Linked DNA regions of Schizosaccharomyces pombe. The protein of the gene in region 3 binds, or shares a complex with, the protein of the main gene of each other region. Each region holds a gene or a part of one and is shown on either strand. Other genes may lie near its edges.

Region 1 (7,455 bases), on a different chromosome or scaffold from region 3:
TGCAGATTTAGTGTCTTTACAAAACACAGAATAGGCTTCGACGAAGGTAAAGAATTTTAGGTAATGATATCTGGAGAATTTTAACCAATCACAGATAGCACTTCGTAAATTTAAAAGATTGGTATAGGATGAAGACAGTTGATGGACAAACGCTAGAATGGGCTCATGTTCAGGTACGTAGAAAATGTTTGTAGAATTTTGAAGCTAAAAAACAATTAGTCGAAAAATTTAAAGATAGAAAATCATTGAACCCGACGTACCTTTGCAATTTTCTTGTCAATTGAATCTGTGGAGAGAAGTAAGACCTCTTGGGAATTCGAGACGCTATCCAGGGCTGTAATTATAATATCTCGTCTCCTTTTTAACTCATTCATTCTTTGGCTAGCGATCTCAGATTTGTGACAAGCTTCCCCGAGCAACACATAGTCGGAAATGATACCCAGTGAAGCAGATCGGTAAAGCTGATTTAGTAAAAGCGGATACTTCAGAAAACGCTGCACAGGCTTTACTAAAAAACTATCTAAATTCCAAGAGTTACTTTCAATTTTTGCCATGCTATCACATTCCTGCAAATATTCTGAGATTGATGAGTTCTTCATCCATTTTTCCACCTTTTTGCCAATGTTTTCTTGAATCACGCAGTATCGACCATAGACAGCAGATAGCTTGGGCAACCATGAAAGAAATAGTTGTGCAACGGAAGGCTTAGGCTTCAAACAGGCATCTTGATCATCCAAAATGTAATTGATTTCGTCGTTCAAGGATTTGTGCATTTCGATTTCGAAAAGTGATGCTTGCTTGCACAATACCAGAAAAATCTCAAACACATCTTTCCATTCGCTTTTTTTTACTCGGTCCGATAATCGGTCAGCATAGTACCGTTGAGCTACATGCAGATCATGAACGTAAGCGGCTTCTGAATCACGAAATTCCTCCAGAACAGAAATAATGGCTTTTTGTTTACTCCTCATAGCAATCGTCGATTCTGTGGTAGTGCTACAACTAGTTCTTGTCGACCTTGTTTCAGTTTCATGTTGACTTAACGCTATGGTCCAGTCAGGCCGTAATTTCAAAGTATCTTCTAAAGTGTGTGTCGAATTGGCTATAGGCAAGCTATCTGAAACAACTCTTTTTCCACGGCTTTGGAACATCCTTGGGTTACTCATCTTTAATCGGCTGTTGATTCAATGAGTTATCTACTCAAACGCGGGCACTTAGGAGTTCGTAGCGCGTTTGATTAGATCTCACAAAGCTAAAACAGAGTAGCAAGGCCGTTGATGAGTCGATTTCTTCTTTAAATACAATGCTAATTTAATCCAAAGAGTAACGCTTTTATCAATGAAATAGTTGAATAGCTGTTTTCTTTGTTGTTGCGGACGGCAAGAATAACCAGGTTACCTTAGTGGATATAGGAAAGAATTCCGCTTTTGAAAGAATGACTACAATGATATTGTACTTTATCAACATAAGCAAAGTTATTTGTACATAAATTATTTTCTTTTCTTATTTTTTAAAACTAACTAGTGGTCTTTGGGGATGCATTAAGTATTTGCTTAAAATATCGAACGTAAACAATACTTAGAAAATTAATGATATACACCATAAAATCGACGAAGTAGCCAACCGAGAAACAAATGATAATATTGGTAAGCTTTTTTTTGGATTAATGAGTTTTTCTTTAATTTTTTTTCTATTTATTTGCATTTTTTAAATTTTTTTTATTATTACTACTAAAAGCATCAATCTCATATCAAAATTAATTATTATGTTAAATATTTAAATAAACAAGTCAGTATTAGAAAACTTATTATACACTCGGTTTAAAAATGATTAGAAATTGAAGTATGGCTTGCACATTTATTTATATAATCTACTAAAAATTTATGTTTACCACTCAAAAGGATATGTTTTGATTGAGTATATCATTCATAGAAAATGCAAAAACCAATTTTAGAACATAAACAATTATATTTTTAAAAATTCACAGCTATATTTGCATCAGCCGGGAGTCGAACCCGGAGCTAGAGCATGGGAAGCTCCAATGTTACCGCTACACCACTAATGCATTCAGATATTTAGACTGATGTTGCAATCTATATAGTAATTTAGAAAGGATTGTTATTGTTGAGTCTGATGAAATTCTGTTTGTTGAACATTTCAAAAATGTTGCATATCAGTTAGCCATGAGTTGGGCTCTTAATATGATGTTCCAGCCTTTTAAGACTGCATACAGAAAATAATAATTAACTACGATATGGTCGCATTTTAACTGTATGAAACTTTTTTTACAAGAGGTTATTAGAAAATTCAATTGGAGGAAATCCCACAGTGTATCAAAACAGTTGCTGTTAAAACTTACTTTACACTTAACTCGTAAACATTCAACATTTTAACGTTCGATTTTCGAGTAGCAGCTTCAAAAAAGTGCTCGTTAATTTTTAACACATAAAAATGTGTAAACAAAGCAGCCACATAACCGATGTCTTACATATTCCTTCTGTACCCGTTGATATCCCAATTGAAGAAGGGATTTTAGTTGTAGCAAACAAAAACAAACGATAATAACAAAATAAAAATGATATTATACCACTTAACCCATGAATAGCTAAATTATAGTAAATTTTTAAATTAAGAAAAATTTTTTTTAAGCAGGACCAATTAATGGCGACGAGAGCGCTTGATTTTTTTTGAGGTATTTCTCACTTGCTTGGAAGTAAGCTTCTTTTCCTTTTCTCCCTCTTCAACAAGCCATTGTGTCTCTAATTCCTTATTTTTACCCTTATAACCCCATTTTGGTACCCATTCACCAGATGCTTCATCAAACACCAACCTGCCTTCCCGCTTCTTAGGAGCAATACCTTTAATACGAGCAAACCGTTGCCATTTGGTTTCGGGCTTGGGTTTAGGTAAAGGTTTAGCACGAGGAAGAGGTGTAACAGTTTCAGGAAGCTGTAAAAGGACGCCATCTGATGTACGCTCCTTAGGCAAGGAAATCATTTTGTTCACCAATTGTTGAACGTTATCTCTACTGAGAGAAAAAAGGAATGATTCTTTCTCTGAACCGCTAAGCTTAGTTTCATCTAAGGGAGAAATATCAAATGCAGCCATATTTCCCAAATCGAAATCTAGAGGAATGGAGTTTTCTATTTGTGCAGACATGATTAACGAAATAGGGACAAGGAAAAAAAAAGGGTTGATAATACAATTAAGTGACAAAAAGTTCTCAAAAAAGACTGCAAAATTGATTTGTTAAAAAGTTGGTTCAGGATACGAAATTCTTCTTTCAAACTCCAAAATTTTTATCAAACTACTGAATATATAAGAGAAAAAGCTCTCTTTCAGTTCAGCAATCTACTGTTTTTACTTTCTTTATGACAAACGAAGAAAGTAAGAAAACTTTTACGATTCTTTAGTTTTTGCAAAAGTAGAGACACTTATTAGCAATACGTTAGTTCTCTTTATTACTGAACGCCAAATCTACCCTATTAAAAAATATTAGCAATGCGCTAAGAGCTCAGTAAATACTTACCATCCGGAAGCAGTCAGTCTCTTCATTTACGTGAGAACAGATATGTATACTTAAGATTTACGAGAAAAAAATACCTCTAACAAAATGCTACCGAAGTTTAGAAGCAGAAGTAGTATTATTAAGAATACAGAGAGAATTTCTAATATCCTGTCCGGTGGAAAACTGACTGTTTGCGGTAGTAAACTGGGAGGACTCTACACTTTTGAAAAATGCACATTTAACAAATACTATTCATCCTCACAATACCAGCATACGGGTAGACCTGTTGGAGGAAATATACATTCAAGCTCTAACCAGCAGCGTCAAAAAAATTCGGAAGCGCCAAGAATTAATGAAATTCCCCCCTCAACTTCGTCAGTAGAGAAATCGACGACTATTCCCAATAGTAGCGTTGTATTGGATCATCTCTTAAATGAAGGAGAAAATACTTTAGAAGAGGTGAAGCCCTCTGAAATTCATCCGCATATGTCTTGGTCCAGCAAGTCTGAAGGTAAGATGTTTAAAATCCCCGAGGAATTGCTTAATAAACTTAATGGATTTGGGGCTTTAGAAAAACAAAAAAAAAGTTTCTCCTTTTTTACCAGTGCTTCCCTTTTGCACAGGAAAATTACAACTGAATTAGTGAATGTACTGCAGCGCTCCAAAGACCAGGGTACGAAGGACGGACGTTTTCTTCTTGATGGTGCTCCAGGTTCAGGAAGAAGTATTGCTCTCATACAAGCTGAACTTTTCGCCTTATCACAACCTAATTTTATAGTCTTGCCAGTCCATAACTGCGAAGGATGGGTAAATTCAACGAGTAGTTATGGTTATGATGAGCAACTCAAGTTGTGGGTGCAACCAGATTTAATTAAGGGATTTCTAACTTCTGTTATGAAAACTAATTCTGATAAACTTAAGAAGCTAAAGACCTTTGAAAGTCATGAGTTGCTTCAGAACGAATGCATTCCTGCTGGTACCGATTTACTTTCCTTTCTTCATAAGCTAATTGCTTCCTCGAACGCTCCTAAATCTCTGGAAATATTTTTACAAGAACTCAATAACAATACCAAGTCAAATTCCAATATGAAGGTGTTATTAGTGATCGATAATATTTCTATTTTATCGGTCGTTACCAAGTATAAGGACAAAAAGAACAACTTCCTTCCCCCTAAAGACTTTTACTTTATTAATTTACTTTTCAAATATATTTCGGGTTCGCTTACTTTTAATCGTGGTACTGTTTTAGCTGCTACTTCTAGCCAACCGCGTGTTTCTACCCCGTCATTGGATATAGCTCTTGGAGTAGCTCACAGAAATCCTTACAAATCTTCTGATGAGACTATATTAGATTCATTACAGTCCGTGCATATTCTTAACATGGAGCCTTACACTTTAGATGAGTCACGTCGCATGATGGAGTATTTGGTATCATCCAACGTTTGCCTTGAAAAGGTTGATAATTATTTGCAAAATCATGTCCTTAGTGGTGGTAATCCGCGAAAGTTTTTTGATGCTTGCACACGTCTAGCATGATTGAGATATTCAAAAATTTCTATCCACTACAACTCCTTTAACGCGGTTTTATTTTTCTATTTTCTATTCTCATGTTGTTCCAAATATGTATCATCTCGTATTAGGCTTTTTTCCGTTTTACTCCTGGAATCGTACCTTTTTCACTATTCCCCCTAATGAATAATCTAAATTAGTTTCGCTTATAATTGATAGTAGTAGAAAGATTGGTGATTCTACTCGTGTAATGTTATTAGTTTAAAGATACTTTGCAAAACATTTATTAGCTATCATTATATAAAAAAAATCCTATAATTATAAATATTAATCAATATTTGCGGTCACTATTTATTTAAAACGTTATGATCAGTAGGACACTTTGCATATATATAGTTATGCTTAATGGTTACTTGTAACTTGCATGACCGAACACCATACCCCCAAAAGCAGGATTCTTCGCTTTCTAGAGAATCAATATGTATACCTATGTACCTTAAATGATTATGTACAACTTGTTTTGAGAGGGTCGCCGGCAAGCTCGTATAGCAATATATGCGAACGCTTGAGAAGCGATGTACAAACGTCCTTTTCTATTTTTCTTCATTCGACTGTAGTCGGCTTCGACAGTAAGCCAGATGAAGGTGTTCAATTTTCTTCTCCAAAATGCTCACAGTCAGAGGTATATATATTTTTGTTTTGATTTTTTTCTATTCGGGATAGCTAATATATGGGCAGCTAATAGCGAATGTTGTAAAACAGATGTTCGATGAAAGTTTTGAGCGTCGAAGGAATCTACTGATGAAAGGGTTTTCCATGGTAAGGTATTCTAATTGTGAAATATTTACCTGCAATTACTGTTTCAAAGAGATTGTATTTAACCGATAAAGAATCATGAAGATTTTCGAGCCATGCATGTAAACGGAGTACAAAATGATCTCGTTTCTACTTTTCCTAATTACCTTATATCTATACTTGAGTCAAAAAATTGGCAACTTTTGTTAGAAATGTAAATACCGGTTAAGATGTTGCGCACTTTGAACAAGACTGACAAGTATAGTATCGGCAGTGATGCCATGCATTACTTATTATCCAAAGGAAGTATTTTTGAGGCTCTTCCAAATGACAATTACCTTCAGATTTCTGGCATACCACTTTTTAAAAATAATGTGTTTGAGGAAACTGTGTCAAAAAAAAGAAAGCGAACCATTGAAACATCCATTACTCAAAATAAAAGCGCCCGCAAAGAAGTTTCCTGGAATAGCATTTCAATTAGTAGGTTTAGCATTTTTTACAGGTCATCCTATAAGAAGTTTAAGCAAGGTAACTAATACTGTTATCCTTCATAACTAATTTTAGATCTATATTTTAACTTACACTCTATTTGTGATCGGAACACAGTACACATGTGGCTTCAATGGATTTTTCCAAGGCAATTTGGACTTATAAACGCATTTCAAGTGAAGCAATTGCACAAAGTGATTCCACTGGTATCACAGAGTACAGTTGTGCCCAAACGTCTCCTAAAGGTATACCCTTTAATTGAACAAACAGCAAAGCGACTCCATCGTATTTCTCTATCAAAAGTTTACAACCATTATTGCCCATATATTGACACCCACGATGATGAAAAAATCCTTAGTTATTCCTTAAAGCCGAACCAGGTGTTTGCGTTTCTTCGATCCATTCTTGTTCGAGTGTTTCCTAAATTAATCTGGGGTAACCAAAGGATATTTGAGATAATATTAAAAGGTATTGTATAAAATTTATTACCACTAACGATTTTACCAGACCTCGAAACTTTCTTGAAATTATCGAGATACGAGTCTTTTAGTTTACATTATTTAATGAGTAACATAAAGGTAATATGCCAAATTTTTTTACCATTAATTAACAATCAGATTTCAGAAATTGAATGGCTAGTCCTTGGAAAAAGGTCAAATGCGAAAATGTGCTTAAGTGATTTTGAGAAACGCAAGCAAATATTTGCGGAATTCATCTACTGGCTATACAATTCGTTTATAATACCTATTTTACAATCTTTTTTTTATATCACTGAATCAAGTGATTTACGAAATCGAACTGTTTATTTTAGAAAAGATATTTGGAAACTCTTGTGCCGACCCTTTATTACATCAATGAAAATGGAAGCGTTTGAAAAAATAAACGAGGTATTTTAAAGTATTTTTTGCAAAAAGCTAATATTTTCAGAACAATGTTAGGATGGATACTCAGAAAACTACTTTGCCTCCAGCAGTTATTCGTCTATTACCTAAGAAGAATACCTTTCGTCTCATTACGAATTTAAGAAAAAGATTCTTAATAAAGGTATTAATTTTTGGTCATCAATGTACTTTACTTCTAATCTATTATTAGCAGATGGGTTCAAACAAAAAAATGTTAGTCAGTACGAACCAAACTTTACGACCTGTGGCATC
Region 2 (6,400 bases), on a different chromosome or scaffold from region 3:
CGCAATTGCCCAATAAAATCATGCTCCACCCTGTTCCGCAAGACGAAATAAAACCTCGACCTAAGAAAGGAAGGTAAATGATGGTAATTTTTAGAGTCTACATAGGTGAGATGGTGACCAATCCTGTTGAGGCATGAGTTTGGTTTTTTTGATATGTATCTTAACTTTTTGTTTGGGAAAAAAAGTGGCATTTCGTGATTCATGACTAAAATCAATTACTGGCAATCGTTTAATATTAGAAAAATTTTTCCTTTCCTGACAAAAAGTGTTATGGGTATAGACGCTATCATCTTCTTATCTATGTTGGCTGCTCAATAAATGATGAACTTTTTTTAAAGCACTTTTAAAAGTTTGGAGCGAAAGTTCGCTAGCTGGCTAAACGGCAGTGTCATCTGAAAAGCTTGCTATAGCTTTGAATAATATTTATAATATATATATATGTATTCAAATAGATGGTAGAAATTTAATGTGTTCTGATAGATTGTTTTAATTTGAAGACATAAAGAGATGAAAAATATCTGTTTTATTTTTGAAAGGGGATAGTACTAAGAAAATTCTGAAAAAAAAAAAAACAAAACAAAAATCAATTTTTGAGGAGACAATATGATATATCAGCTGTGAATTTAAATACTACTGAGTCGTCTTAGAGATATCTACACTCGGGTCTGTGAACTTTGTACGATTAGCCTCAGCGTATTGTGAAGCATTATCAAACCAAGAATTTAAAGCATTTTGATCCATTTCATAGCCCAACTCCAGATCAGATTTTGTAAATACAGCACCCAATGCTTGAGCCTGATCATGGGCAACGCGTTGCTGAATTTCTTGTTCAGCGCGTAGGTGATAAAATTCCTTTCTTGCTTGATCATAAGCATTTTCTACAGGCATGTTAGAGTTTTCAATCAGCCATAAAGTTCTTTGCACTACACTCTCGCCAGATAATGCTTTGCGCGGTTGATCCATGTGACTCCAATCACAATATTGCTGATCATTACCGTCATTTTCTGCAATGATTTGAGGCCTTGCTAGTTCCCAAGGATGATCTCGATAAAACCTTTTACGGAGTTTATCTTCTGGCCATTGAATTTCCTGAGGCTGATACATTGATTTTCGTAACCGTTTACCACGGGATTTTACCTTATTTGGATCGTACAATGGTACAATACGTCTAGCATATTGAAAGGTTGGGGGATGTTTAGCAACCGTTTCGTACCATAAAGACTCTGCTGTCCATGGCTTTTTCATTTCAGCTGCAAAGCTGCGTAGCAAACCATTTGCATTAAATTTCGGCATTGGATCTTCCTCCTGAAAAAGTTATTAAATAGTATATTAGTAAAATAATCAGTAATAGAAACGTGAAAATGGAAGTAAGGATTGAATAATGATTGAGATGGGTTAATTATGCAAAACACATCCACGGCGCTATAAATAATGGAGAGTATGACTTGAGGTAATAAACAATCGCTTATATGGATAGTCTGCTAAAAAAGTGAATTATAAGCGCAAGAAACCAACTTTTTTGGTGAAAATGGCTTCCAAGAGGAATTGGGCTGGCCAAGCTAGTGTTAGCTGACGGTACTAGTGTGCCTCATCTTAGTAGCTACTGAGTATAACCTAATGGTAAGATATTATGAATATTTATTTCAGAACACACAAGGATACGAACACTATTAATGAAATAGTTATTTATAAATTTAAACACATCTATTGCCTTTTTTTTGCTAAGATATGGCTTGTTTGTAAATTCGGAATTTAAACTAAGCGATTGTTCATCTAAATTAATTTTATGGATTGAAAGTCCCTATTATTTTTTAGATATTTTTTTTATAATTGCTAAAGGTATATAGAGTTTATTGCCTTTATTTTTTTATATTTTTTTATCAATCGTTAACGCCATAGGAAAGCAAGTTAAACTGCTTAAAAATTTTTTAATACTTAAAAATTTTTTGTTATGGAATAAACTTTTTTTTTTTTATACTTTTAATTTTCACTGATTTCATTAAATATTTACCGGCAGCCGTTAGAATTATTAATAACAATGGTTCAAAAAACTCCAAAAAAATTTTAAGATTAATTAGACAAAATCAATTATATGTTTCGTAAAGCAAATTAAATGGCTGTACTGTATTTGTGAAGCTGTATGCGTATTTGCTAATTTGATTTTGTCATAAACTGACTGAGTAAATTAGCGCAGCAAATGCCGCTACACCTAGCATGTTCTGAAGTGAAAATGAAGTGCTGCAAATATTTAAAGCCATTGATCGTACAGTATTATTATGAATGGACATCAACTACTTGAATTCTTGCCTGCTCATACATTTTTAGCAGTTATTTTCATTTCTTCACTTATAACGCAGTCATATTTATACTCCGTATTTGATTTTACCTGCTAGCTGGCAATCTCAATGCTAGAATACGATATTCGCTTCTGGATGATGAGTGTTATATAACCTAGGTAAGGTTAATCTGTAGCTTATAACGAAGAAGTAAGGTAAATAGACTACACTTGTGTTCTTTGACGAAAGTGTATTCGATGATATTGTAAATGCTGATTAAATACTAATGAGTCAACAAACGTGCCTAAATGCTGGTTGCATTCAATGCCATTCCTATATATGATGATGGCCGATTGATCGTTATTCATTAGCGATTCTTAAGAGGATCGATGAATGATAGTTTAATAGTTTAGAGGGATATTCTGCATTTAATTATATTAAGGGACCTCTTTTTTACTCATGAATGTTCTTTCCATGTTTACACAATAACGAGCTATTATAACAAAATAACGTAAATAAACTATAGCGATGGTTTCCGTTAATTCACTAACGCTGCCTGTTAATGAGGAAATAGCAATCTTAGGTTTTGCTTAGAACCCAACTTCGCAACGTTGGAAGGTTTGCTCAGTTAGCTGTATTTATACCACCTTCTGTTTTTTGGAAACCTTGGATGAAATGTTTAGATGCATTATTGAGCCTTTTCGCACAGTTTAATGTTTGAATTATCGCATCATATAGAAAGGGAACGGAAGTATATGCATCATCTCGTATCGAGTTCTCGTTTTCTTTTTTTATCAAGTACCCCCTTCTCTCATTAATAGTGATCCTTTTAATTTGATTATCGTTTCTTTTCTTCATAACGCGTCTTTTCGTTTCCACGCCTCTCGTTTTGGGGACGACTTTTGTCTGCTTGCCAGGCTAAGAGATGCGAAATTGTGTATCTCCACTACTTTTTGCATGGACAAAACATTTACGTTTAAGGGAATTTAAAATCCCTTTCCCAAATCGTCTTGTTGTGCGGTCACTAAACCAGCTTAGCGTTCATCATGAAAAGGTAACTGGGTGCAGGCCTCGACAAGCGTCTTCTGATGAATTACATAAATACTCGAAATCTGCTTCAAACGAAGCATTTCTCTCAAGTTTTGCAGAAAATCAATTATTTCACAAGTGTTTGCCTTCCAGCGCAGGTGCTGTTCTTAGTGAAAACGATTTAATGTACATTATCCGAAAAGTCAGTGAAGTCTATGCTGATAATAAAACTGAAAAGGTTACTGTGCCTTTTGACAAACATAAAAACCCATTCCTAATTTACGTGAAAAAACGGTTTGCCGAATGTTTTGATAAAAATCCTGATCTTTGCCTCATTGTGTATTCAAAACTGGAGGTTGAAACGTTGGCAAAAATAACTCCCATTTGGATTAATGTCGCCAAAAAAAATAAAAAAGAAGATTTTCTTGTTGAACTCTGCCTCCGTTTTTTAGAACGATTCCGTTCATGCAATTTGACTGAACAAGCAATCTTATATCAAAATTTTCGAGAAAACTGGTGGAGTAACATTAAGTTACCCCAAAATCTCAAAAGTCTGTACGTTGAATTGTGTTTGGTGTATCATTTCCATAATTCCCATCTTGGGATGGATTCCTCTACAGTCTCTAATTTAAAACGCTTCTGCTTCTCAGAGTCATTAGGTCATATATTTGCTCCTTTGAGATTCCAAAATCAACAGCTTCCTTTGCAACACGTTTATGCGTTTTTGTTTTCCATAGCATATCGTGATAACCAAGTTGATACTGCTCATTTTCTTTATAAACAGTGGTCTCGTGCAGGCATGGGACCATTGCCAAAAGATGCATTTATAAAATTTGTACAATTACTCTCAAAAAACCGTAATTGGGTTTTAATGCGCGATATTGTTCAGCTGGAAGAATACAATAGTTATCTTCTCGACCATCGAATAGTTTCGGCATTTCTTAAACCATTATCAGAAAAAGGTAACTACAAAGACATACTGAGTCTGATTTCAGTTTGGCAGCATTCTGTTTGGCGACCTTCATTGGCGTATCTTCAAGTTGTTTATTCTTTTTCCATGCGAGCTCTACTAGTTAACCGTCAATACTCTTCTGCTTTTGCATTTTTCTGGAAAATTGACCCGTATATTCGAAACGAACGTTTAGTGTCTCAAATGTTACAAGCCGCAAGTCAGCTTCATTATCACGATTTAATTTTATACGTTATAAATACCTACTATTCTGGTAACATTATGAAGAATTTGGGCAACAAAGATTTGATTTGTATAACGCAAAGTTCACCTCCTTGTAATATATCTGGAATTAAGCCGGGAAGCTTAAAGTTGTCTCCAACCACCAATACGGTTTTAGCGAAATCGATTTGTTACTGGCTGAACGATGCCATGGCTTTGCTTTTTTTATTAGAGAATCAACTAAATTGCAAGCATTCCCTCTTTCAGAGAAAGTCTCTTATAATCCTCTTGAATGGTATTCTCAATTGCCCTCATTCGTCGTACGACCTTCAATTTCGTGCTGTGTCTCTCCTAACGGGACGTATAAGGCTGAATGTCGATTTTGAGGTCTCGGTTTTGGCGTCCCAACTCGTTTTTTTTGTCAAACATCGAGATTTTAAGCGTACCTTAATTACCATGAAAGCTATATCCAAGTTGCAAAAAAACTTTGACGTTCGAATATGGAACTATTGGCTGGTTGCCCTAATTCAGCAGAAGCTTTATTCTAGAGCCGTTAAAGTGTATTCCAAACTTATTTGTTCTTCCGCAGTACGAAATGATACAACTCGCTCTCTGATTCGACTCATTCCCAAATCGTATTTCAAAAGTTATCCTCTCCTTAAAGAATCAGAGACCGAAAAAAAAACAAATTCTGCACTTTAACTGCGTAATGTTTTTAAAAGTTCAAGCTTTTGTGAATTATTAACTTTTATTATTAATTTCTCCACTCTCTTACAACACCTTGATGTACAACATTTCCTTGGTTGTTGATTTCATGATAATTTGCCAAATGATCCGTTCATTCACTCATTCTGCTCTTTTTTTTTCCGCTACTTTTTCTTTGTTCAACAAAGATGTTCCGACGAAACTCAAACCAACTTTTTTGAATCCCTTTCTCGAAACCATCCTTTTTGATGCAAGTTATGAAAATAAAATCATCATTTTTATCATCACGTTACATAATTTTGTCCAATTCATTTGGTGAAGTTGGTTTGCTTTCTAGTTTTAGCTAAACATATTTGTATGCAAACATCATCTCAAACATTTGGAATACTTCATAAAATTAAAAATTCTAGAGTTTTATGTTTAGTTGCTTCCCTTTTTCAGTAGTTTCTATGAGACCGCTACTACGAGTTGTCCAGTGTATTGTATTTTAACCGTAGGTAGCCAACTATTATTATTCAGCCACGATGGAAGTATTTGTTATGACAGGATATTAGCAGCCTCAAATCATGTACAAATTATTACATTAATAAATGGATACTACGAGTAAGGCTTCATGATGTGAAGTATTGTTTTTATCGTAATTGAATCATAATTGTTACTGCCACGGTATATACGAGTTGAAAATGAATTATAAAGATGCCGCCTTGATGGTGTTAAAAAATCAAATTTAGTAATCAGCAACAATACACTGAGCTGTGCTACAATACTTTGAATACCACTGAGCCATACTTTCGCATACTAGTAAATATCAGTTGTTTTGGTTAAGAGTAGCTGTCAGCTTAATTAAAAAGTTACCAGCTGATATCTGATACTACAAAAGATTATGAATAGAGCTACAAGTTAATTCGCTCCCTAGTTCAGTTATAAGCTATTTTAATTAAAAGTACAATATAACCCCAATATTAGAAACCTCTATAACAGTTGTTCCTAATAGTATCTGTGTACTAAAATATAATATGATCACAAGGAAAACTCACTGCGATCCTACGTATCGTTAAAACTGATACCGAATTTGAGTAGCCATCATCAGCTGTCAGCAATACTACACTACGCTATGATATACTACGTTGCGTATCACTATAGATCATATGTTGGAATACTAGCTAAGATCCGTTTATTGATAATCATGGGTAACTATCCGTCTATATACATAGATACC
Region 3 (9,678 bases):
TAGACAATCTCCAGCGCTAATATGTACGAATTTGTCAAATTTCTCGGCCAAACGATCGCATTGTGTACCCTTTCCAGCACCAGGACCGCCTAAAACAAAAATCACGTTATACATTGTCTACAACACATTAGTAAATTGGGAATGCTGGTTATAAAATAAGGAATGAAATGAGCACACAAGTTCCTTTTTTTTTCTCTTCTCAAATGTTTACGCGTTTGTGTCACAGTCGTAAAAAAAAAAACCTTTTAAAGAATGTAACGATGAAATTACTGTCTCAATAACCAACGCAACCAGAAACACACTAACCCATACCAATAAGGATTTGCAAAATAGGTGAAACACTATTTGAGCGGGTAAAAAAGTGTTGGAGAATTAACTTTTTCATGTTTCTTTCAGCATGAGTCTTCAAAAAGGCATCCGTTTGCACTAAAATGGAAGAGGAAAAAAATTTCGACATTTACGCTACATACCTATTTAATTTATGGTCTGAGTGGAAAAACAGTAAAAAAATAGAAAAGCGCGCTAAAACAAATTAATATACAAGGAGACTTTGTACTGTTGAAGTATATGGAGTCTACTCGTACAATAATACAGTAGTATGTTGTAAGCAACTTTGAACACGAATCTAAACGCAACCAACAACTTAAGATGGAAGAGCCAAAACATATGGATGGGCCGCGGAATAACCGCGGCCCATGCCCTGAGCAGAATAGAAAAAAAAGATTTTTTTTTTCTTTCATAAAATTAAAAAATTCAAGACAATGTATGAATAAGAACCTCTCGATCTAGCATCCAACCTATAAATGAATATCTCTGTTGCATGTTTGCTATATTGAAAATGTCGCTAAGGAGTATCGAGATCCCAGATTAGAGAAGCGTTTACCATGAGTTACAGAATCCTTTTATTACACCAATTCTTAAATCATCTCCAGTCTATAGCCGCAAGTATTGCAAACGTTGGATTTTGCGATCAATGCTTTCCATTTAACGCGCTAAAGCAATTTAACAAATACAATGGTATAGCGCGAAGTCATAATAAAGGAGTAAAATTATATTAAACAGTTTATTAGTATAATGATATGGTTATATGACTTTAGAACGAAAGGAAGCATGTTAACGCCGAAAAGAATTAAAAAAGCTGTAAAGAAGCAGCAGTTTATTCGTTATTTTCACCAATCCTTTTACTAAAACCTTTTCGAAATGTACTCTTATTTTTTGAAGGTATAATGAAAAGGTGGGATTCTCGGAACTAGCACTACTATGGTTTTAGCAAGCCCTGATTCTCATGTTCGAGGGAAAAAAAGCACTAATGGTATCAAACAATTTCCTACTATCATATTACTATCCTTTCCTTGGAAATTAAATGCTAGCAACGGCAATCCTTTGTACTTTCTCCGTGCACAATATCTAGTACACCAAATACTGGCCCACTAGTCGGAGGGGAACGGGTATTTGTTTATTCTCCTCTTTTTTGCGTGCTCCATCTCCTTTGAAGCTCTATTTTAGTTGCTTTGCAGTATCTATATCTGCTACAAGTAGCCAGAGGCGTTCTATGCCTTCAATCTGAAGTTCATTTTTTCATTCTATGGCGGTATGCTATTGGTTGAGTACACACAAAGAACAATGGATAGAGTTTTATTGTTTACATTATCAAAAAACCTTTAACCAATAAAAAAAATAGCCGCTACCAGAAAAAAGTCGCTTAAAATTAATAAGTCTTTTGATTGGTCGCTGTACATAGAAGTTCATTTTGGGTGGACGACAAAAAAATAAGCGAATATCTTCAACCAATCAGGATAAACAGCGATAAAACGAAAACGGGGAAGTCATTAAAAAATGGCGGTTAATGTCAACAATGAACAGTTTGAAAGCATAGAATTCCAGATTTGAATTGAGGGAAACGGAGCACTACAAAGATGTATAAATACAGGCATTCTGTCCCAGAAGAAAACCAGAATTCGTTCAAGTCTTCTATTTTACATATTCACTCTTTCTATTTCTTATTCTTCACTCTACAAGAACTCGCGTTGGGTGTGAATTTACATCCCTCTTGTCAACAAACCTGCTCCGTTAGCTAATTTTCTGTAAATTTGCTTCGATCTTTCTTATTCTAATCTTTTAATCCTTTTTCTTTTGGAATTTTGCCTTTTTAAACTCTCCCTTTTTTTGAATCAGTCAACAAATTATAATTTTCTTCTTTTATTTGCTAGTTCATCGCTTAAACTATCTTTCTTTTTCTAACTTATCAACGAAATTTTATTTTTTTCACATACATTATGAAGATCACCGCTGTCATTGCCCTTTTATTCTCACTTGCTGCTGCCTCACCTATTCCAGTTGCCGATCCTGGTGTGGTTTCAGTTAGCAAGTCATATGCTGATTTCCTTCGTGTTTACCAAAGTTGGAACACTTTTGCTAATCCTGATAGACCCAACTTGAAAAAGCGCGAATTCGAAGCTGCTCCCGCAAAAACTTATGCTGATTTCCTTCGTGCTTATCAAAGTTGGAACACTTTTGTTAATCCTGACAGACCCAATTTGAAAAAGCGTGAGTTTGAAGCTGCCCCAGAGAAGAGTTATGCTGATTTCCTTCGTGCTTACCATAGTTGGAACACTTTTGTTAATCCTGACAGACCCAACTTGAAAAAGCGCGAATTCGAAGCTGCTCCCGCAAAAACTTATGCTGATTTCCTTCGTGCTTACCAAAGTTGGAACACTTTTGTTAATCCTGACAGACCCAACTTGAAAAAGCGCACTGAAGAAGATGAAGAGAATGAGGAAGAGGATGAAGAATACTATCGCTTTCTTCAGTTTTATATCATGACTGTCCCAGAGAATTCCACTATTACAGATGTCAATATTACTGCCAAATTTGAGAGCTAAACTCATTTTATCTTCATATTTTTTTTATTTTCTAGTATGTTAGCCCACACATCTTTACAAAGCCATGTGAAGCAATTTTTTAAATTAATTGCTATTTTCGATCTATTATTTTACCATACGATCTGTATTCCTATTCGCAATAATATTTTTAATTTTCATCTTAGTCTTCATATTGTAAAAAAAAAAAAAAAAAAAAAAAAAAAAAAAGAAAAAACGTATAGTAGTTACAATATTACTGAAATCTACAGTACTATACTTCTTTCAGTTGCTTTGTTTTTTAAAGTTAAATAAAACATCAATTTAAAAACTGACTATTAAACCACATGATTTGCGGATTGCTTAAGTAATAATAAAAATGAACACTACCAATTGTGTTAAGCGATAAAATTAGTCATATCCCATATAAGAAGAAAGCACTGAAGTTTCAATTGAAATGCGGAAAGCTACTGCTCATTTAAAATGCCTAGGACCTGCACAAGCATAGCAATGTAAAGGAGCTGCACTTGAAATATATATGACAGTTGAGATCCGCAAAGCATTGTTAGAATATATAAAATTTTATTCCAAAACTTTTTACTGTACTTCCGCATGTACTGTTGAACATTCAACTTTGTAAGAGACAGTAATGTCGTGAATATATTTTTCAATAATAAATTTTAAACTGAGACCATTGAACGAAGGGATCATTTGAGTTCATAAATTTTAAAATTTGAACAGAAAAGGAAGGCCTTTGACGATATCTCTTCTTTATTTGTTTTTCTTCGTCTTACCTTGCCCTATTTATGGTCTTCTTAAACATCAAATTACACCTTAGATAGTAGCTCTTTAATGATTACTCAAATTGTCTTTTATTACTAGGCCCGGAGTCTGTACAATCTAACTAGTTTTCTAAAAATATGAGAGATCCAACTGTGTATTATATCTAAACACCACCACTCCACTCTTTTACAAGAAAGCCTAATACTTATATTCAGAACGGTTTTAAGCTCTCTGATTACTGATAGAGAACTGAATTACAAAACCAAATTGTCCACTTCATTATTGAGCTGGTTTCTGTCTCATCTGTTGATATCTGAGATTTTGCATCATGGTATACATACTTGGAGTGGCTGTAAACGACGATAAACCTGTGCGGTTTGCTCTACTTTCTTTTTATGGAATTGGACATGCCAAGGCTGAAGAAATATGCGCAAAATTATCATTTCACAATACGTTAAGGGTTCGAGAGCTGACAAATGTTCAATTGACAACGTTGTCGCAACTGCTATCAGGAATGACTATTGAAGGTGACTTACGGCGTCAACGGAATGCTGATATCTCAAGATTGGTGAATATCCGATGCTATCGGGGAATGAGACATGTAAACGGGTATGAAAAGATCATTTGTGAACGTAGCTGTCTTCGACAACTTTTTCAACTTAACTAATGAATATTTCAGGTTACCCGTTAATGGACAGAACACTCGGACGAATGCAAAGACTGCTAAGAAGCTAAACAAAGTCCCACGACGAGGTTATATGACACTGTCGCCCGCTTCTACAAGGCCCATCACATGGAGTTTTTGTCTACCGAGAATGGTGTCTGTCTTTCAAAAATTAAAACATATTCATTAGCTAAAATAACGTTTATGAAATCAAACTTCACTTATCATGTACACTTCGTATTACCTCGATTTGCTTGATTCTGTTAAAAAACCAACAACCGGGATACGAAAATGAAAACGTATTCTATTTTTATTGTGTGAGAGAAAAAGCTCTCGCCTCGTAATTTCCTTCTAATATACAACAGCACTCAAAAAAAATACAATAAATCGAAAAATTGCATTGAGGCGATACTTACTGTGTCCTTTCAGTAGTAGGTACAGTTTGCTTCCTTTGCTGCAACTGATGAATTTGTTCAGGTGTTAGTTTTAAAGAACTGGAAACAGCGTATGGCTGAAGCCTGGGGACCATTCTACCAGCTATAGGCGAGACACCCGCTGATGAATTGTTACTACTATTTTGTGAAGCAGCTACAGCTTGAAAGGCTGCTAGTTGCTGGTTGTGTTGTTGTGCACCAGCAGCAACAGCGGCGTTTTGCGGCCGTAGAGCCCTGTTTTGTGATTGCAATTGTGCAAAGTTTCTCTGAGCCTGTATTTGCTGTATTTGTGCCTCACGCTCAGATTTCAAACGAGAAAGTTCGAGAGGGGAAGGAACCGGCGGCAATTTTTCAGTTGAAGCTGCAGATGGTGCAATCGCTCTCTTGGTCATAGTGGGTTTTTTAGCAAACTCTCTCTTTTTAAGGATCTTTCGTATAGCTTCAAATATAGTAATGGGTCGGTAATGTCTTGATACAGTTGGCAATAAGAAGTAAGAATTATGTTTAATCAAATGGTTAGGTGTTCCTTCATCCCGTAAGGATAGATGTTGGCTAACTTTATCCGAATGTCTTAAGGATTCATCTAATTTCTGCTGAGCGAGTCTTGCATGGGAGCCAGTCAATTGGACATTGGCGGCTCTGGGATCCACTTGAATCCATCTTTCAAAACAATCCCACGCAGTCCGCTTCTCGGCAAGCGGTATGTACAAACCTGGTGGTGTTAACCTACTGGCAACAAATTCCCAATTAAAGGAATATCGTCGCAAGAGTAATAAAAGGAGTTCATCTTCTTCGGGCAACCAAGGGGCTTCTGGACGAATATCTTTACTAGAAGGCGGATACGGAGGCCGCACACTAAAGGTTCCTACTGAGGATAGCTTCTGATTATCATCCTTAATTTTATTTCCATCTAGCTGGTTCTCATCGCTTCTCGCCTTCTTTTCCATAAACGACTCAGGTGGTGATAATTCCAATTGGTTGAACAAACGTTTCCTAGAAGCCTTTGCACAGGTGGATTTAAGCTTTGTTTTGGCATATGCAAAACGTGACACAGGAGTGATCGGGTACTTTTCAGATATTTCTTCACAATATTCATTGTTTTCAGTAGGAGGACCGTACATAGGAACGTTTAAAACGCAGTTCTGAATTTGTTCGGAGTTTGTTGTCACAAATATATCATCCGAAAAAACAGCATTATAAAACTGTAAAGAATCCCTGGGAATAGAGAGCACTTTGTTGTTATTATTATCATTTAGATTAAAATGGCTCACTATTTGTTCATTAAACGTTTCCTCGTGAGAGTCTTTCTGATGTTCATTCTCTTGCATGTACGGCTTCTTATTCTTTGACAACGAAGCCGGAGTACAAACAGTACATTTATCACTAGCTTGATGGTAATCCATTACCCAATTCGCCATTCTATGAGCCAATATAATTTTCCATTTACGCTCTTGAGAAAAATCAATTGACATCCATTGCATCTCATCCAAAACATAATCCCGATGAGTTTTCAATCGTGGCATCTCGTTTTGTCTTTTGGGCTGTCTAAAGGACCAAATACCTTTTTCTTTTGCAACCGTTAAATGATGTAGTGATTGTCGTACAATTTCCTCGCGATACGCATGAGACCAGTTATCTGATAGAACATATTTATGTGCATTTTTCAACCTTAAATGTAAAGGCGACATTTCTGTTCGAAGCAGCCATGCTTCTGAGGAAAGCTCTGGTTTCACCGGTTCAGAAAATTTTGAAGGAGGAATTAAAGTTAGTGGCATAGATACAGAAAGTTCAAAAAGCGGAGCTTCAACCCCAGTTCTGTCAATTGTAGGGGATTTTTCCGATGGTAACTTATTTTCCATTTGTAATTTACTAGGCTCAACAATTTCATCTACTGGCTTCTCGTTGACATCAACCGCTACTTCCTGAACAGGAGATTCAGTGGCCTTGTCAACGGAAATGATTTGTTGTTCCGAAGGAATCTCTTGATTATTTAATAATTGTATAGTTTTTTCAATATCAATACCTGATTGTACATTCTCAACATCATTTTCAGTGACCTTGGCTTCAGGAGAATGAACTTCTTCAACTTCATCAACCTTTGGGACTTTATCTTCAATTTCCAAAACTTCTGCAACAGTGACAGGGGGAGCCGTAGGTTCCGTTGTCTCTGATACCTCTTTCTTTTTCACTTCTTTAGACTCAACTTGATCAGTCGCAACCTCTACCGGTTTGGTAACGGTCACATTTTCTTCATTCCCATCTTCCTCATGTTCCTTTTCGGTAGCTTCAACCACTCTTAATTGCTTATCGACTCCTTCTTCTTGAGAGGATTTGTTTGCAAGTTCTTCGGTAAGCTGTCGAGCAGCATACTCGCTATCTGGCGTCAAAGGGCCTTTTTCCTCTTCAGCATGAGCAGTGGTTTCCACTTCTTTTACGGGTGTTGTTGGTTCAATAGTTTCTTTCTCTTCTACGTCAATATTTTTATGTATAGTTTCAGGTGAAGGTATGGGAGATTTTGACGTTATAATTTCCTCCTCGCTAAGTTCTAGGGAAGTTTCTTTTAAAGGTGTCTCCTCTGAAACTCCTTCCAAATTATCGGGTTCTTCGGGAACTATCGGTTCTTCAACGATAGGAGTTACAGATTCTCTAGCTGAAAGATTAAAATTTCGCCCCCTTGCATGTTAGTTGTACATTTGAGGAAAATACAAAAAGTTACTCAATGAGACATACCTTTTAAAACGATACTTTTGATAAAAGTTAAACCACTCAGAAACTTGCTCTGGTAAAAGATCACTTGATGAATGAAGCCATTCTAATCCATTAGGAAACTTGCAATGCAACCAAAATAAAAGAAGTAACTTTTCATGTTTCTCTTTTGTTAACTTAATCTCTTCATTGTCTACAGAGTCGTTTTCTTCTTCTTCGTCTAGAGTAAAAAGGGAGGCAAAAGAATCTGTTATCGATAATTTTTCACCATCGACTAAAGCAATTTGACTGGTTTTGGTCTCCTTCTTTTTAATTAAAAATATTAATTAGTTATCGAAGTACAATAAAATTATCACTTTAAGGCCCGTAAGACTCGTAAAAACGTACCTGTTTCATAATCCCAATTTAAGCGGAATTACGCTGGAAAAAGCATACAAATCGTATTCTAGAAAAGACACAGTTTTGCTTTTATATTTATTGTATGATGATATAAAGAACTCAAGGATCCTGTATACTTTCAGACCTAATGTGAACGAAGTTAGTCTGATGGTGTTGAGGCCCCCCAAGGGATTTGAGCCCGCAATCAACCACCATATTAGGTGAAGTAGAAAAACAAGGAAATAGCACTCTACTAGGACACAGTTTTGAACTACAAGTACAGCAATAAGACTGTCTTTTATTTTCGTCTTTTTGTTGCTCGGAGAAATCGCTTGTTCTATTTAAAAGTTGAGACGTTACCATAAAGGTTATCGGCATATTTCAAAGCTTTAAAAACGTTTCCCTTTCAACTTAAATTATTCAAAAATACATTCAGTTGAGCTACATGCCAAACCTACTATCATATCATTCTAAAAAAACTATCGTTAAGTGATCTATTTCTCCCTTATTTTCAATTTGTATTTATTATTTTACGACGTGCTAGGAATTGTGAAAGACTCTTATTTATGATCAAGTTTTTCTAGATTTTTGCGTTGCATTTGGTTTTTACATGCATCTATTGCTCATCCCTTGAGGATTATTTCCACTTTCTGTTGTGGATTTTCTTTTCTTTATAAAGCAAGATTGCCAAATTGTTGCTCCCAACATAACAAGGGATAATAACAATTCATCGTTGCTTTCGTTAAAACATTCTTTCATCAAAAGAACTCGGCACCTGCTCTTTATTCTACTTTGCATTTTTGTTTTAGTTCCGTTTTGCATATTCTTATTTCTTCTTCTCATATTACTTTATTCTTATTCTTTATTTCTCTTTTTATCTGATAATCACCTTGGTCATTTTAATTTACCTCTATGTAAACATTCTTGCATCTATATTTTCTTCTAATTATTTAAGGATTATGAGGATTTGGATTTTAATATTTTTCTCCTTCATTAAACTTGTCTCTTCGTTACAATATACGGGAAATGGTGTTTTAGCTTTGGACTTCGTTGCGAAAACTTTTCCCAACCAGGAAAATCAATTAGAGAAGCGTGACTATACTTATTCTCCATCTGGTATCACTTCATTTCCTTTAGATTTGCAGAGTTACACTTACTACACTACTACCCTTTCGATCGGTCGTCCGAGTATTTCGTACACTGTAGCTATAGATTTGGACATGCCGTACACATGGTTGACTTACTACAATGTAATGGCGTTTAATCCAGCGTATCTTGGCATAGTGAATAGTGGTACTCAGTGGAGTACGGATGAACTGCGATACTTTCTTTGTAAAAAAGAAAGTGATTCTTGTTATTTTGGGAATGCATCTTCTAGCTTCCATTTTGTTACGAGTCCAAGCACTTTTTTTATCCGCTATGACGATAACATTACAGTTGCTGGAATTAATGTTCAGGACTCCCTTTCTTACAGTCATTATCAAGCTTTACCGGACTTCCAATTCGGCATCACATTAAAGGAGTATGTTCCCAGTTCAATGCTGCCGTACAAAGGCGTGCTAGGTTTAGCTGCCAGTACCGAAATTAATTCAATAGATTATTCGGATTCCATTTCAAGTTTTTCACCACCAACCTTTTTGGAACAACTAGTTAAAGAGGATATATTGGCATACCCTGCTTTTAGTATGTATCTGGATAATCAGGGTAATGGAAGTTTACTTTTGGGAGCCGTGGATACGTCAAAGTACCAGGGACAGTTTGTCGCTTTGAAGCAGACTAAGCTTACGCATTACGCCGTTTCCATTTACTCTGTGCAGTTCTTAAACTCTACGTTCTTTTCTAATTATTCTATCAT
Region 4 (8,177 bases), on a different chromosome or scaffold from region 3:
GTTCCTTCATACGTACTACTGTTTACCGTTTTAGGATTTTTTATTTTCATTCTTTTAGAACGAATCGCTGAATCCGAAGCTCGTAACTCAACGTCAGTTAGCGGTGGCATTTCTGCAAGGGAACAGCTTTTACGTCGAGGAAGTTTTTGATTTTACAACTTGAGTTCTAAACACCGGAGAGAGCAGTATCATCTCCTGTTATATTTTTCTTAACAAAAGTTTTTTGTATGCTTCTAAAGTCTGTTATTACTTGTTTGTCTTTTTTATTAAACACTTCGGAATTGACTTCAGAGCATTCAATATTATATTTCAAATGTCTACCACAACCATGAATATAGCTTCGGCTCCAATTGAAGTGAAACGGATATATTGGCCCAAAAGTACGATCTCTTATACCGATTCTGGTTACTTAGTTGGTTGGAAGTACTCTACCAACGATCTTATCGTTGTGACAACAATTACTAGTTATCAATCCTTCGCTAATTTTTTAGTTGATTATTGCAAAAATCAAGATCAATCAGTAGATATTAAATCTCTGTGTATATTAGGCACGTTTAATTGCTCTGCCGATATTTTGCCGGGTGACAAATATGAAATTGATTGTTGGATCAAAGTGCAGCAATCGACTGAGCTTTCTCATCCCCGAGTTTTCGATTCGGCTAGTACGCCTTTAAAAATAAATCTGCATATAATTTATTATCATCCTCCGCAGCCAAGAAAAATGCAATTTCTTTCCCTTGAACCTCTATCGCTTTTATTGTTAAAAGATAGTTTTATTAACAAGTCAAACCCTGAATACGAAAGCATGCAACACCAGCAAATACTGTTAAAAAAATTGAAATTGCACTTTCCCCGACGCAAAGAAAATAGCTGGAAAAGGAGTCTACGCTCAGGCTTAATTGAGCTTCTTAATCAATCCTTCGAGGTTCGCATGTTAACACATGAAAATAATAACAAAAAAAATTCATATGTTTTTCGACTTTTTGATCGTGTCTCGTCATCAACCTTTTATTTTTTTAATTCGCTGTTTGCTTACTTTATCATATTATTGAGGATAATTAATGAGGTTATACTCTTGGCGATTAATTACCGACCGATTCCTTTATCTTATAATATGATGGATATTTTCGTTTCTGCTCGTCAAGTAGATTTGAGGTTGCAACAAGCGTGTTTTTGGCCTGTACAATATATGAAATTATGGGTTTTTCGGAAAAGCAAGCGCGTTGCGATAGAGGATTACAAAGAATATATTAGATTCTATAACAACCTTTGGTTGGTTGCGAATGACATGATCTTTGGGATTACAATGAGTTCATTTATTTTAGAGAATCTTCATCTGGTGGTAAAATTAATAGAAAATATCACATTCGAGTATGCGATAAAAAACGTTCGTTCTATGGTTATATGGCTCGTGGATACTCCTGCTGGATTAAAACTAAACAACGACATTTGCAAGTTTATTATGAAGCTTTCTGTATGGGTTATTGACGTATGGAGTAATTTTCTTTTGCATTGTTTGCCTTGGACTCCATTTTTGGTTCAAGTTGTCGCTATTTCTGGGTTTGGGGGTGCTAGTTTAATGATCGCTTTAATTTCTGATTTTTTAAGTGTTATGACTATTCATATACATTTGCTTTATTTGGCTTCATCACGTTTGTATAATTGGCAGCTACGTGTAATTTATAGTTTGCTGCAGCTTTTTCGAGGAAAAAAAAGAAACGTTTTACGAAATAGAATCGACTCATATGAGTATGATTTAGACCAACTACTTTTAGGAACAATCCTTTTTACGGTACTAATATTCTTCTTACCTACAATATATGTTTTCTATGCAGCATTTGCATTAACACGAGTATCCGTGATGACATGCTTGGCAATCTGTGAAACTATGTTAGCCTTCCTGAATCACTTCCCATTATTTGTTACAATGTTACGAATTAAAGATCCTTATAGAATACCAAGTGGGCTGAATTTTGAGATAGTCAGCTTTGAACCATTAAAACAAGACGGCTTCGCAACGCTATATCTCAATTGCAACTCCAAACCGATGTCTCTTGGATCCATGTTTGAGCATTATCGGAAACTGGCGCGTAGGTTAATTTCGCATTACCTTTCAAAAACTACTTTGATTAGTTTGCTCGTAGGTTGCCCAGTTCCAGCGATACCTGCTGAGCAACTCTACAATATCCAGTACGCTATGCTTCCGACCAAAAGAATATCTATTAGAAAACTGCGAGATCTTCTTTTTCATCAGAAAAAATTTCCTTACGACTGATCAAAATGTTAAGTATTGTTGCACACAGTTGATATATAATATTTTTTGTTTATGAAACAACAAAATTTTTATAATTAAACTTAGTTTATCAGTTTCGTTCAAAGCTGTTTAGCCGTTACCCATTTGATAATAATTGGAAAGAAAATGTGCGAAATGTAACCGCAAAGTATTAGAAAGGCACAATTTTCAATTATTTATTTTTCTAAACAGGAGTTAGAAGGTTCCTAATTCGGTTTTATAGTAAGCTTTACATACTTTTTGACTTGGAGGCTCCTTTTCCTTGGCGTATTCTCCTAGTATTTTAATTAGCTAATTTCTTGTGAAAGAAACATTCAATCTCAATTAACAACTAACATACCCTTTCCTGATTTCCATTCGCAATTCCTCATCACTATCGGGAAATGTTTTATCATTTAAAAGGGTCCTTAATTGACGATAATTGATAGTTGCGGGATAGTAGCTCTTCAGTTTTGCTCCCTTCAGCTCTTGTACTACAAATTTGCGACCCGTTCTCGAGTTGTTTGATTTATACTGAGTGCCAAATATTTTTGATGAGAGAATATTTAATTCTTCCAGGATTGCTTTGCTAGCCATGATTTTATACCAAAAATTAGGGAAGGCTCCTAGGGAATGTGGTTGCTTAAAGTTAAAGGCAAAACGAAATAAAAACAACAATAATAAGGCTAAAGACACTACTATGATTTCATCTGCAAGGATTCTGAAATTCTGTTATTGTAAGTATTATTAGCGCAAGTCTACTTAGATATACTACAGCGGATGATGTGGGATAAGTAGTTCATCAACCCCACATGGAAACATTTTGGTGCATTGACTAAAGATAGACCTGTAAATAGGTTTAGTGGGATCAAGTACTTAATATTCTACGCTTTAAGAGGTTACGAGTAGTTAAGTAGAGTATAATAGACACCAAATAGTTGAACATATTCATATAGCGTATTATTTCCATTAGCTGTAATATAATATAATTGAAGTTCACTGGCTTTCAGATTACGTTAAAAAACTTACACGAATTTAGTAATATATACAATATAACATATATTAAGGATAAACGAAGCAAAACTATCCTGAAAGGTAGATATACCAACCCGGATAACCAATTGGAAAGATGGTTGGAAAAATCATATCTTCGCAAATAATTGCAAAGAAATTAAAACCATCTAAGACCCACACACAATAATCTGAGTCATTAAAGACAAGCATCTTAGATATTTACACTTTGTAGATAATGTAAAAATAATAGAAAGCGAAATACGTAGATATCAACTATTCGGAAAAGGGAAAAGAGCGGGTTTTATTAAACAGATGACTCAACAATTGAGCTTGTTATTTAATATACAAGCATTTTTTAGCAGCAGCAACAACAACATCGGCATTTGGGACAGAAGCAGCCTCAACAGGATGACTATAAGGCATGGGAACATCTGCCATACTTACACGTTCAACAGGAGCATCAAGATAATCAAATGCGTCAGACTCCATAATTTGAGCAGCAATTTCACTACCAATACCATGTTGACTATATGCCTGGTCAACAGTCACAATACGATTTGTCTTCTTAACACTGGCCGCGATAGTATTGATGTCTAAAGGACGAATACTACGCAAGTTTATAACTTCAGCTTCAACACCATAGTCAGCCTTGAGCTTGTCAGCTGCTTCTAAAGCAGTAACAACAGAAATAGACTCACCAACGATGGTGATATCTTTACCGGGGCGCTCCACCTTAGCAAGGCCAAAGGGAAGCACAAAGTCCTCGCTCAACGCTTCTTTCGAAATTGGAAAGGTTTTACCATAAAGAATTTCGTTTTCAAGTACAACAACGGGATTAGGATCACGAATAGCAGCCTTCAACAAACCACGAGCATCTTCTGCTGAGTAAGGAGAAACTACTTTAAGACCAGGGATACTACCATACCATGGAGCAAAGTGTTGAGAATGCTGAGCAGCAACTGCAGCGGCAGGCCCATTAGGTCCACGGAAGACAATAGGACAAGCCTGAATACCACCAGACATGTACAGGGTTCTGGCGGCCGAGTTAACGATATGATCGATAGCCTGCATGGAAAAATTGAAAGTCATAAACTCACAAATAGGACGTAAACCAGCAAAAGCAGCACCTGTTGCCAAACCAGTAAAACCCATTTCAGTAATGGGAGTGTCGATAACACGTTTAGGACCAAACTTGTCTAATAAACCTCTAGATATCTTATAAGCACCATTGTATTGCGCAACCTCTTCGCCAATCAAGAAGACACGATCGTCACGTTTCATTTCTTCTTCCATTGCACTGTTCAAAGCATCACGAACGGTCATTTCCTTCACTCCATTGGAAGAAGAAGAATAGCGCTTTGCGATGGTTGAACTAAGAAGTTTCCAAGAACGACTGGTCCCAACAATTTCACCAAACTTTTGAAGACGAATCATTTTAAATTCCCTCAAACTTCTTTTTAACTTCGTTAAAAATTAGGGCTATCCCGCTGTGTTGTTGTATATGTGTAGTGGGCAAAGTAGAACAGTGTGATGGTAAAATATTTCGAGTTGGCTTATGGTACAACAAATTAAATACAGTACGTAGATGATTAACAAGAATACTACCACTTTTATAAATTTTGTGTTTATTGCAAATGACAAAAGAATGGTTAAACAGTCTGATATGATTATAACCTCTTAGTAGTATCATTTGTTTCATCTTATTTTTGCTAAATAGTGAAATGTGTACATACTGAAGCAGCTGCAATAACGTGCTTAACCGATAAAGATAATTTGTTATCACTAGATACGGTGCTCAAAATTGATTGCCGCAATAGATCGTTTGAACTCCTAAGGGCGATATCCGAAAAGCAGAGCATAAACACCGACAAAAAGGTGATGAACGAGAAGTTAAAACAGCCTAAAGTTGTGGTTCAAATTGATGCATAATTGCACGGATTATTGATTCCGGTGCATCAGTGACTATGAATTTTGAAGCCCTCAAATATACTTAAAGCATTACTTTATTTTCATAACAGTAAATTCATCACCATATGATTTGTACTAGCCATGTAGAGATAAAAGCTGCTTTGTATTATGATAAACTACATAATTCATTAGCGAAAATAAAAGTAAACAATTTCGTTAGCTTGACATGGAATTTTTTTTATTTAATGGTCAACAGCATTGAGTATAAACAAGCCTTGAACCAATGTATGGTTTCTGATGATTAAACCAACAACAGATTGAATAGTTATAGTTGGAAATTGATGAAAGAAAGTTCCTTTTTTAACTTCGGACTTTTTATTGACAGTATTATTTAAAAGTTATATTTAGTACACGCGTTATAAGGGTTTCTTTGGTACGCGAAGTCAAAAAATTATTTCTTGCATTATTAAAGATTGAAGATAGTTTTATAAGCTACAGACCAATATTTAATTTGCAGTTTTTCACATTTTCTAAAGACTTTAACAAAGGTAAGGCGTTTTTAGAGATAAATGTTCAGACATAAACTTTTCGACAAAAGTACATAGCTTAACTACTTAAAGTTTTCCTGGTTTTTTCCGCCTTTGACGTTCAATGAGACCGTAAATTCATAATTTGGCATGCTACAATCCTCTTTTTACAATAGATGCAAACCAACTGTTGTAGACTTTTAAACGATAATTAATGATTGCAATCCCAACTAATAAATGTATGTCCCGTGTATAGCATCTTTGGTAGGTATTGTGTCATAACTGCAAGTTTATTATTTCTCATCTAAACAAACCGACTCACAAACTTCTCAGAATATATGTTTGATGATAGAGGAAAAAAAGTTTACTTTGTATACTTGTTATGAATAGTCATACGCTGTATTTTTTTTTCTTTTTTTTTTGGATAACACTTATGAAGGACTAAAGCATGCGGCCGTAAGATATCATGGATACACAGTGTTTATGTGTAAGCATTAATAAAGAAAATAATCCGCTTTCAATTTTAATACTCGCGATACATTTTGCAATTAAAAAGGATGTATATTTTATTAATTATAGTCAGTGTTTATTTGATACATAATATTATTTTCCATGGAAATATAGAGAATATCGTTATAATATATGCAATGCCGATTTTTGACATAATGTGTATGATATGATATATATATACAGCCAACAGTACTGACGAAATTTCACCCAACTTACCATTTTATTGTGGTTTTTTAATAAACTTGTACAGTTACTTTTTGTACGAACCATTGATTAATTTAAGAAAATGGCCTCTTGCTGTCCAACAAGTCGTGGTGCCGCAGCTTCTAACAAGTCCTATACCTTTAAGGGTAAAGAAATTGAAAACTTTGGAGGATTGACCACCTATGTTGTTGGATCTACTTCCAATACCCGTGTTTTGATTGGTTTCATGGATATATTTGGTCTCTCTGATCAAATTAAAGAGGGTGCTGATAAATTGGCAGATGATGGCTTTACCGTCTACTTACCCGATTTCTTAGAGGGAAAGCCGTTGCCAGTTACTGCTTTACCCCCTAAGACGCCAGAGGACCAAAAGTTATGCAATGATTTTTTTTCTACTAGAATTTCTCCTAATTTGCACTGGCCGAAACTTGCTAAAGTTGTAGAAGCTGTGCGCGCTAACCATGGACCAAATGTTACTATTGGCACTTATGGATTTTGTTGGGGTGCTAAAGTTTTGGTCACTTATCCCGCTACAATTGATTTCGTTGGAATTGCTAGCTGTCACCCTTCCTTCCCTGATAGCGCTGATGCAGCCAATGTTCATTGTCCTGTATTGTTTCTTTGCTCTAAAGACGAAGATGCTAAAATCATCAAAGAATGGGAAGAAGCGTTCAAGACAAACCCCGCTTATGCCAAGTCTTCCTTCGAAACATTCAGCGACATGTTCCATGGTTGGATGGCTGCTCGCGCAGACCTTTCCAACCCCGAACAAAGGAAGCGCTTTGATGAAGGCTACCAAAAGGTTTCTTCATTTTTCCAATCTTTAATGTGAGTTTGATGTTTGTTAGATAGTCATGATTTGTTATCGCTATTGATTTTTTTTAATCCAATTATTAACTAATGACCTAAACTATTCGATACAGTAGCTGTACGCTTTACAATACAAACAGGTGAAGCTTCCAATATTCACTTAGGCTGTAACATATTTTGAGGTTTGCTCAACCTAGATGCCTTAGTACTGTTTCCTACAAATTTATATGTTTTTTAGGATCGTGAACAAAATAGCTTTTAAAATCAGTTAAAAATTTTAGCCACTGTTATTTTTTTGCGAGTAACTCTACGCTTCACTGCCTATGATATGTTGCATAGAGATGAATTCATTTTGTATTAGTTTTAATTCTAATATTTAGTTTTATTTCTATTTATGAATATAATGTTTTTATTGTATATAAATCAAATTTTATTATTTACGTCCTGCTAACTTAGTCTCAGTATATTCTGCCAAATCCCGTAATTGAAAGCACCGAAAACTTTTTCGAAAGGCGTTTTTATGTATCCGCATCTCCCTTGTAAAATACCAGGGCTTTCGTTGATTTATGATGATGAATCGAAAGTTGAAAAATCGAAGCAACTGTCTACAAACGCAAGTTCATCAAATTTTGTAAAAGAAGATCAAATTCCTTCAAATTTATCTATCGATAATATCAATACCCCACAGGGCGACCCAATCGATAAAAACAACTTGAATACTAATACTGAAAATAATCTACCGAACATAGTTAACTTTCAGAATATTTCTTCAGCGAATTCTGGCGAAATTAAGCAAAAAGATAATGAAATTTTATTTTCTTCAACAGAAGATATAAACCAACACAAGGAAAACTATCAAGATGAGAACAAAATCGACTTATTGGATGTTGCATTGGCTAACCCAAAGGATTGTGTTGTTCCATCATCAGGTT

The links.
Region 1: sws2 (region 3) and rsm23 share a complex: the UniProt entries of both Schizosaccharomyces pombe proteins name them as parts of the mitochondrial small ribosomal subunit.
Region 2: sws2 (region 3) and rsm25 share a complex: the UniProt entries of both Schizosaccharomyces pombe proteins name them as parts of the mitochondrial small ribosomal subunit.
Region 4: sws2 (region 3) and rsm27 share a complex: the UniProt entries of both Schizosaccharomyces pombe proteins name them as parts of the mitochondrial small ribosomal subunit.

What each region holds. Positions count from the first base shown.
Region 1 is NC_003423.3:2,064,097-2,071,551, reverse strand, and holds rsm23 (mitochondrial 37S ribosomal protein mS29), read left to right. Parts: upstream 1-3,561; 5' UTR 3,562-3,613; coding exon 3,614-5,044; 3' UTR 5,045-5,365; downstream 5,366-7,455. Other genes in the region: gef3 (RhoGEF for Cdc42/Rho3/Rho4 (Gef3)), read right to left, coding at 1-204, 261-1,166; ribosome biogenesis protein Rrs1, read right to left, coding at 2,659-3,159; telomerase reverse transcriptase 1 protein Trt1, read left to right, coding at 5,442-5,699, 5,756-5,836, 5,908-6,026, 6,078-6,340, 6,377-6,769, 6,809-6,879, 6,919-7,188, 7,229-7,345 and 1 more. UniProt on the Schizosaccharomyces pombe protein: Component of the mitochondrial ribosome (mitoribosome), a dedicated translation machinery responsible for the synthesis of mitochondrial genome-encoded proteins, including at least some of the essential transmembrane subunits of the mitochondrial respiratory chain.
Region 2 is NC_003423.3:4,290,396-4,296,795, forward strand, and holds rsm25 (mitochondrial 37S ribosomal protein mS23), read right to left. Parts: upstream 1,568-6,400; 5' UTR 1,294-1,567; coding exon 631-1,293; 3' UTR 501-630; downstream 1-500. Other genes in the region: nucleoporin Rae1, read left to right, coding at 1-77; PPR repeat-containing protein Ppr7, read left to right, coding at 3,202-5,178. UniProt on the Schizosaccharomyces pombe protein: Component of the mitochondrial ribosome (mitoribosome), a dedicated translation machinery responsible for the synthesis of mitochondrial genome-encoded proteins, including at least some of the essential transmembrane subunits of the mitochondrial respiratory chain.
Region 3 is NC_003421.2:979,283-988,960, reverse strand, and holds sws2 (mitochondrial 37S ribosomal protein uS13m), read left to right. Parts: upstream 1-3,806; 5' UTR 3,807-3,969; coding exon 3,970-4,250; exon of another isoform or gene 4,251-4,320; coding exon 4,321-4,495; 3' UTR 4,496-4,717; coding exon of another isoform or gene 4,718-7,412; 3' UTR 7,413-7,469; coding exon of another isoform or gene 7,470-7,750; 3' UTR 7,751-7,815; downstream 7,816-9,678. Other genes in the region: ura6 (uridylate kinase), read right to left, coding at 1-114; P-factor pheromone Map2, read left to right, coding at 2,277-2,882; vid21 (NuA4 histone acetyltransferase complex scaffold subunit Vid21/Eaf1), read right to left, coding at 4,718-7,412, 7,470-7,750, 7,833-7,841; yapsin Yps1, read left to right, coding at 8,783-9,678. UniProt on the Schizosaccharomyces pombe protein: Component of the mitochondrial ribosome (mitoribosome), a dedicated translation machinery responsible for the synthesis of mitochondrial genome-encoded proteins, including at least some of the essential transmembrane subunits of the mitochondrial respiratory chain.
Region 4 is NC_003423.3:3,067,086-3,075,262, reverse strand, and holds rsm27 (mitochondrial 37S ribosomal protein mS33), read right to left. Parts: upstream 3,010-8,177; 5' UTR 2,870-3,009; coding exon 2,634-2,869; intron 2,569-2,633; coding exon 2,531-2,568; intron 2,478-2,530; coding exon 2,470-2,477; 3' UTR 2,276-2,469; downstream 1-2,275. Other genes in the region: gpi1 (pig-Q), read left to right, coding at 314-2,275; pyruvate dehydrogenase e1 component beta subunit Pdb1, read right to left, coding at 3,620-4,720; SPOM_SPBC30D10.14 (dienelactone hydrolase family protein), read left to right, coding at 6,518-7,267; snoRNP assembly factor Naf1, read left to right, coding at 7,766-8,177. UniProt on the Schizosaccharomyces pombe protein: Component of the mitochondrial ribosome (mitoribosome), a dedicated translation machinery responsible for the synthesis of mitochondrial genome-encoded proteins, including at least some of the essential transmembrane subunits of the mitochondrial respiratory chain.